Linked DNA regions of Drosophila melanogaster. The protein of the gene in region 1 interacts with the protein of each later gene in a pairwise test. Each region holds a gene or a part of one and is shown on either strand. Other genes may lie near its edges.

Region 1 (3,894 bases):
GGGTAGAGCGAAGGTTGCTCCCCCAGTGATTCACGGGACCAGACAGCGCCTCCGCCGCGCTGATAACGACGATAGCTTTATGGCTGGCTGATAGCTGATTGCCATAGCCACCACCCAGCAGAGCGCAACTCCGCGTCCCGCCGAACCATTCGCGTCATGGCGCACCAAGTTTTCGGGCCAAAAGATATGGTACCATGGCGGCATGTGGCGGCGTTTGTTGACTTGGCGTGAGATAACCAACCACCACCACCTTATCGCCGTCCCAGACGCAGCGCCCACACACTGAGGTGAAACCGGCGGGCGAACCCAAGAATGAATTTCTGGGTTTTGGGATCGTACGCTTGCATATCAAACACATGTGGGGGAAGTTTAGTATTTCTGATAAAGTGATAAAATTATAAATGAGAATGTGTGTGGGGTTTCACAAAGCTCAAGCTAGAAAATATCACTTTTGTTTTCAGTGTACTCAAATCAAATTTAATAAAATTAGCGTGATTTCCTTATGCAACACATCAGTTGGGGTTTTATATCCATTATAAAGTTCGGAATTCAAGGAAGCTTCTAAGCTTTAACTTTATAAACAGCTATTAAGCTTAAAGTCTAATTTTAACTTTGTAATAATAAAACATATTGAGAAATTGAGAAATATATTACAGAATTGAAATTAAGTGGCTTCCACGAAAGTTTTTATCCATTTCCCTTCAGAGTATAGGAATCACATAACGATTCAAATTGTCTGCTTAAACTTTTGATTCTTTGTCTCAAAACTATAACTATTTACTTTTTAGTCACAAGCTCGAATATATAGTTAGGTCAGGAAAACAATTAATTGTTTTATTAATAAATCTATTTATGGAAATTATGCAAGGCGATCTTATAGTGGCCTCTTTGTAGATTCTAGAACTAGCCATTCTCAGGCAAAAGATCTAGATGCGTCTTCAGACGTATTAGTCCATTCGCTTTTCTCTGAGTGCACTAGTACGGCTCCAAGAGTTGACGTACCTGTTCCAATGAAGGGGTGCGATTCGGATCGGGAGTGGGACTCGGATCGGTACGCAGGGTGGGGTGCGGCAGGGAATTCGCTACGCGGTACGAAGTGCAAGTCAGGCAGGCAGGCAGGCAGACGGCACCGGGCGATAAGACTTGCCCCCCAAAGAGCGATCATCGGGCACACACATGTGCCTGTGTACATATGTGGACTGGCTGGCTGGCTGACTAGCTGGCTCTCCACTTGTGCGTTGATAAGCGGGCCCAGACCGTACCCTGGTCGCCCCCCAGTCACCCATCTGCGTCGCAGTCCATCCAGCACAGAGTTTCACTCACGTAGTGTGTGCTTTTGCCCCAGATCCATTTGCCCCAGCGGATTTTTTTCCACCGCTCCACCGCTACGCACCTGCTCCTCGGCGCTCCACTGTTTTGGTTCCGTCTGCCGCCGTCTGCTCCCCCTGCCCCTGCCACGCCCCCGCCGGACCCGTCTGCAGCCTTCGAAACTGATAAGCATACCCTGTCCGTCTGGGCGACCCCTTATCGCCGTCCAAGTTTCGCATATTACCCGAACCTCTGCAGGCGAGCGGCTCATTCGATCGGCAGGCGCTTTAGCGAAAGCAACAAATTTTCTCGATCAGCACCCACCACAGACAACAAACATGGATATAATACAAAAGTCAATCTTCAACAGCGGCCCACACAGCAGAGGCATCTACGAGCCGCCTCTCGGCTACTTTACGCCGTATAACACACCACCGTACATAGCCGCCTACTCGGATTCCGGCAGCTGGTTGGCGGATCACCACCAACACCACCAGCAGCAGCACCAGCAGCACCAGCAGCAGATGCAGCACATCAGGTTTCCCACGCCGCCCATCACACCGCCGCGTCCCATCGCCGGATACGGATATCGTCAGCGCACCCAGTCCGTGATCATGAAGGCTCGTGGCCAGCAGGACGAGCTCTGCCGCAGTCCAGTGGAGTTCCCCGACGACAGCAAGTCCTGCAGCAGCAGCAGCGAGTGCGGCACCGCCAGCGATTTCGTATGCAACTGGACAGATTGCGATAGGTAAGTGTCAACTGCATTACAGAATTATTGTGAAAATTTCAAAGAAATTTCCTAAAGGGGTCTCAGCACTTTCGTAATGTTTTTTAAAAACGAAAAAAAAACTCAGCATTATATTTTCTTTTGAATTTTGAGTTGCCAGAGAAAGACATTGAGTAGTTCTAGAAAAATATAAAACACAGTTCCCCCGCGTTTTACCATTGAAACTGATTACGCATTCGAAAGAAATAAAAAAAAAACCCCGGAGGCAGCCTGGCATTTGCTGAACTGTTGGACTCGACTTTTTGATAAACCCTCCAATAGCGATAATAATGTGATTTTGGGTCAAATTGATAGAGATGCAGTGTATTGTTTATGGTCAGCAAGTGTATTAATATTGGATAAGAAATCAATCCAGTACATGTTATTTTCGTACTAACCACTTATATCCCTTTGATCCTTGCAGAGTTTTCGACACCTTGGATGCACTGGCACAGCACGTGACCCAGCGACATGCGATCGCCAGCCTGACAGACGGACTCTACTATTGCCGCTGGCGGGGATGTCAGCGCAGCGAGCGAGGATTCAATGCCCGCTACAAGATGCTTGTCCATACCCGCACCCACACGAAGGAGAAGCCACATCGCTGTCACCTGTGCGAGAAGTCCTTCTCGCGGGCGGAGAACCTGAAGATCCACATTAGGTCACACTCGGGCGAGAAACCCTACAAGTGCAGCTTCGAGGGCTGCCAGAAGGCGTACTCGAACTCCTCGGATCGTTTCAAGCACACGCGCACCCATTCGATGGAGAAGCCGTACATGTGCAAAGTGGCCGGCTGCCAGAAGCGCTACACGGATCCGTCCTCGCTGCGAAAGCACGTCAAGACCTTCAAGCACAGCATCCACCTGATCGCCAGCCAGCCGCTCACTCTGCCCAGCGTACCCTGTCTCCTGGAGGCCAGCAGCGAATCAGCGTTCACGTGTCTTCCCGCTGCCAGCAGTGTGGAGTCCACCAGCTCCTCCTCATCCGCCCGCTACTACGATGACTCCAACAATGAGCCCAGCGATTACTCGCTAAAACCCAAACAGGATGCGGAATTCTCGCCCAGCTATTGGCTAGGCGATAGACAGCATAGCTATCTCCACAGCGAGGACTTCTTCGTTAAGATGGACGTGGAGTCACCGCTCGACCTGCGCATCCATCGAATCTGAACTGGCCAATCGGTTCGCCTCTCGTCTCTCTTCCCCTTCTAGTCATTGCGCTGTTTCCCAGCTCTTGTCACCACACCTAGATTACTATTTAACGTGATTAAAGACTGTTGTAATTGAACTGCTCTAGTTTGGCATGGTGGCATGGGAGTATCTTCGGGATTGATCTGATCTAGGTTCCTTCATAGTGGTTCTGGGCAAAAAGAGTATTTCAAAGATTTCGAAAAACCATAAGCTCAAGGTATGGGAAAATCCCCAGTTACAGGCGATTCGTCACAAAACTAGTGACCAATCTTAATCGACTTCGATTAGAATTTATGATCCAGACAACCTTTGTTTGGAGGAAAATCCCCATTTCGAATGGCTGGGCTAATAGAGCGCTAGATATTGGAAAATATTTATTGTTTAAATGCGCATCTAGACGAGTTTTTCACACAACTGTTAATAACAGATTTAATGTTTTTTTTTGCGGTTTATAGGAATGTTAGTTGATCTAGATAACCTCTCGTTTTTATACAAACAACAAGAACAAACAAAATAAATAGCAAAAGTATTTCACATTTGAAATAGATGAATACACTTTAAAAGCGATATCAGGTTTTACACTATATATAGGCATATATATATACTGGCAACATACTACAGAGAAGAACC
Region 2 (4,534 bases), on another chromosome or scaffold:
AAATATGTGCGTGTTTGTTTTCCCTGTGTCTAATAACCAGACAAACACCCAGCCCATCCCATTCGGCCTCTCGCGTACACACACTCACATCCACACGCACACTTGCCCTTGCCCAAATAAACATATGAAATTTACTTTAAAGCTGACAAAGTCAATAAAAAATATTGTTTTAATAAGCAGAAAATAGAAATGAAGTCTGCGAAAAAAACGACACTGCAGGACTCAACGAGCAGAGGAGTCGCGAGAGGGAAGGACGAGGCCGAAGGACTTTTTATGTTTGACTCTATCGTTATTTGGCTTGTAAATTGGTTAGTAACCCTTTCGATGTTTGGAAATGTGGAGTGAATGAGTATCAAGTCAAAAGGCGGATAGGAGATAACATAAAAACAAGTGCAATTTTAATATGTTATAAATTTATGGTACAAAACTCTACTTGTATTAACTGTTCAATTATTATTATCTCTGATTTAAACTAATCACGCCAATAGAGCAATTTTTAAATAAATAACTCGCTTCATAATAATATTGCAGAAGGGAAAAGTTTTCTACATATATATATTCATTCTTTTTGATATTAGATACATTTTAGATATTAGAAAAATTTCGGTTTTCTTTTTTAGGACATTTTAACATGAACAACAATTTAATGAATCTTTATTATATAAGGATCCTATATATAGGGTGATACAATAGTTCTTGAAAAACTGTGGAAAACATGTTTGTCTAATATCCTGAGTATTCTTGAAATTCTTACCTTAAATAAGCCTGAAAAATTCCTGCCCTTTGCACACCAAAAAAACCATTGTCAATTCAAGCGCCCGAAAAAGGGAGTTGCTAAAAACTTAATGCCTTGCCCTCAACGAAAACAACCTTCAAACGTGGCCCTTAACTTGAACATCTTGGCGAAAACCCATCAAACTGCAAATTAGCAGGCAACTTTTTGGTCTCTGCCTCTCCCGAGAAGACGAACAACTTTAAGCTGAGATCGAAAGAACTTTATCACTAATTTATGCCGAAGTCATTGGAAGGGTGAGTTAAGTGGGTGGTTGGCTCGTTTGCAGCCCCTGGTTCACCACCACCTCCACCCACTTGTGCCTGTGCTGTTGGCTTTCCCAGGTGCCTCTCATAGTTGATGTGGTTCTCGCTCGCTCTTACTACCATTGTATCTAGTATATCATGAATGCGAGATAGAGGGAGCGAGCGAGAGCGGAAGTGAGAGAGAGAGAGGGAGAGAGAGAGAGGGCGATAGGCCGTATTTTAAGCATTAGTTTAAACAACAAAAACAAGGGCTTGGAAAAGCGACGGGTAGGGGAGGAGTGCCCACAGGACACACACCGTAGCTAGCTAACTATTTTTTCCTATACAAAAAAGAAAGCATGAATGGCGTCCGCTCTCTCTCTCTCTCTCTCTCTCTCTCTCTCTTTCTCTTGGCCACACACAGATACTTTCGACGCAGCTGTGTTTGCGGGCCCACTTCACTTACTGACTGCGAGTGGCAGCCATCGTTGGTTGGCTGCAGATACACATGCAGATACGGATACATTGTGCGGGTACACACAGATACTGTGCGGCAGCGGATCGAGATACTTTCTGGTGCGGGCGACGCTCTGCCGACGCAAACGCTTCTGCTCGATGCGAGCTGTGTGTTATTTCAGTTACACAGATTCAGTATCAGACGTGTTACTATACCGAACGGTTCTGCGCTCGCTCTGCGCTCCCATTTCCCCTGTACTACAAATAGATGCATATATATATATATATATATATAGATTTATATATCTGCACTTATGTGAGCGACTTGTTTAAGCAAATATTATCGCTAGAAATAATAAGAAGCAGCCAGTGGTGAAGTGATTAAGTTCGAGAAAGAAAGCAAGACAAAAGCAAGAGAGTACGAAAATACCAGAAGGCGGCAGTGGAAAATCGATCAGAAATCCGCCGGAATCGCCGCCATGCATACGTTATTCAGCGACCAGAACTCCTTTACGCGCCACTATGCCCAGACCGCAGCCGGTTACGGATCCGCATCCGCGGTGGCGGCGGCCAGCAGCGCCTCCGCTGCAGCAGCGGCACATTACGCATACGACCAGTACTCCCGCTATCCGTACTCGGCCAGCGCCTACGGCCTGGGTGCCCCGCACCAGAACAAGGAGATTGTAAAGCCACCTTACTCGTACATCGCCCTGATAGCCATGGCCATCCAGAATGCGGCGGACAAGAAGGTGACCCTGAACGGGATCTATCAGTACATCATGGAGCGATTTCCCTACTATCGCGACAACAAGCAGGGCTGGCAGAACTCCATTCGGCACAATCTTAGCCTCAACGAGTGCTTCGTGAAGGTGGCCCGCGATGACAAGAAGCCCGGCAAGGGCTCCTACTGGACTCTGGATCCGGACTCCTACAACATGTTCGACAACGGCTCCTTCCTTCGCCGGCGTCGCCGCTTCAAGAAGAAGGATGTGATGCGGGAGAAGGAGGAGGCCATCAAGCGGCAGGCCATGATGAACGAGAAGCTGGCCGAGATGAAGCCCCTCAAGCTGATGACCAACGGCATACTGGAGGCCAAGCACATGGCCGCCCATGCTGCCCACTTCAAAAAGGAGCCCCTAATGGACTTGGGTTGTCTAAGTGGCAAGGAGGTCTCCCATGCCGCAATGCTCAACTCCTGCCACGACAGCTTGGCCCAAATGAACCACTTGGCTGGCGGCGGAGTGGAGCATCCCGGCTTCACCGTGGACTCACTCATGAATGTGTACAACCCGCGGATCCATCACAGCGCCTATCCCTACCACTTGAACGAGGACAACTTGGCCACGGTGGCCAGCAGTCAGATGCATCATGTCCACCACGCTGCGGCGGCCCATCATGCCCAGCAACTGCAGCGTCATGTGGCGCACGTGGCCCATCCTCTGACCCCCGGCGGCCAAGGAGCGGGAGGCCAATCGTCCGGACACTCGCCCACCACGATCTCAACTCCGCATGGTCCCGCGCACGGGGGTTGGTATACCCCGGAAACGCCACCATCGGAACCCGTTCCTCACAATGGGCAGCAGGGCACACCCACCCACCCGGGACATAATAACAACAACAGCAGCAGCGTACTCAACCACAATGGAGTGGGCAACGGTGGCGGAGGCGGCGGCGGTGGCGGTGGAGGATCCTCCAGCGTGCTGACCAGCAGTCCCACATCGGCACTGGGTTTCCGCGACATGATCTTCGAGCAGAACCAATCCTGCCAACTGGACACCGGTAGTCCCACCGGCAGCCTACAATCCGCCAGTCCACCTGCCTCCGCATCCGTGGCAGCGGCATCAGCGGCAGCAGCGGCGGCGGTGATCAGTAGCCACCACCACCACCATCATCACCATGCGGCGCTTAGCGGGAACCTGGGCCAGCTGGGTCAGCTGAGCAATCTGAGCCACTACCGACCGCATGTGGGCCACTACCAGGAGTACGGCATCAAGTACGGGGTGTAAGCCTGTGGGCTGGATTCTCGGCGACTGGGCTGGGCTCTCTTGTATATTCCTGTAAATACATACACCATATAATATACCCAAGAACGAGTCTACACAGCCTGGGGGTGGTGATCCCTCGGGGTCCAGAGTCTGCTATCTCAGATCTTTTTGTTTCCAACTTGTTTTCGATTTATCCGTATACGAAATAATGGGGGACATAGCTGTTAAGCAACCGCATTAACGTATTGTATTGTATTAACTGTATTTGTAATTGTAGCTCGTAATTGTTATCGAATTTAGGCATAGTCCCAATTGTCTGCTACGCAATTTGTGATGGGGTTTTGCTACACAGAACATAAACTTAAATTAGAGCATTTTGTCAATAACTAAAACTACCGCATCGGATCGATCTATCATCGCCTAGTACACTAGCCTAGCCCACGTAAGCAATAATAAATTATACAACTAAATCGTAGCTATAACATAACTATCAAAACTAGCGTACCACCAATATGAGCCGAACAAAAAGTGTATTGAAAATATGTTAAAATATCTCAAATCGTGTGTTTTATTTGGCCCCTTCATATTCGGAGCGACTTTCGCTATTCCATCTGGCCATTGAGCATTTGGCTGGCAAAACAGACTTTTTACCCCGAAACTGGATAGCCCGCACGCAGAATTCCTAGATAAATAATTATTCAAGGCGTGTCCGTTTCGAGCCCCGAATGCATGACTCAACTGGCCAATTGTCACTGGAAGATGGCTTTCTGGGTAGCCGTATCATATCATTTGGACTCACTCGATCAGTTGGCTGCAGTTCCGATGGACTTGCAAACGTGGACATATGTCGTTTGTCAAGCGATCGGATAGAAAACACTTCCCCCCTTTCAGTGGAAATAATTATGCATTCGACCTTTTGGAATAATAAATGAAAATTTCCAGGAAATTGTATGCTTCATATGCACGACTAGCTATCGAAAGGTATTTACAAAAAAGGGTAACTTTAGTATTTATAATATTATATTCACTGTTAGATTGTGTAGTCTGAGCTTCTTTCTGCTTAAAAACTTGAAATT

What was found.
Region 2: the proteins of sug (region 1) and croc interact in a two-hybrid assay, tested with the Drosophila melanogaster proteins (one large-scale study listed by BioGRID).

Annotation. Positions count from the first base shown.
Region 1 is NT_033778.4:12,927,286-12,931,179, forward strand, and holds sug (sugarbabe), read left to right. Parts: upstream 1-1,574; 5' UTR 1,575-1,646; coding exon 1,647-2,056; intron 2,057-2,498; coding exon 2,499-3,243; 3' UTR 3,244-3,359; downstream 3,360-3,894. UniProt on the Drosophila melanogaster protein: Transcription factor which represses a set of lipase genes involved in fat catabolism.
Region 2 is NT_037436.4:21,473,613-21,478,146, reverse strand, and holds croc (crocodile), read left to right. Parts: upstream 1-1,667; 5' UTR 1,668-1,952; coding exon 1,953-3,479; 3' UTR 3,480-4,014; downstream 4,015-4,534. UniProt on the Drosophila melanogaster protein: Required for the establishment of head structures.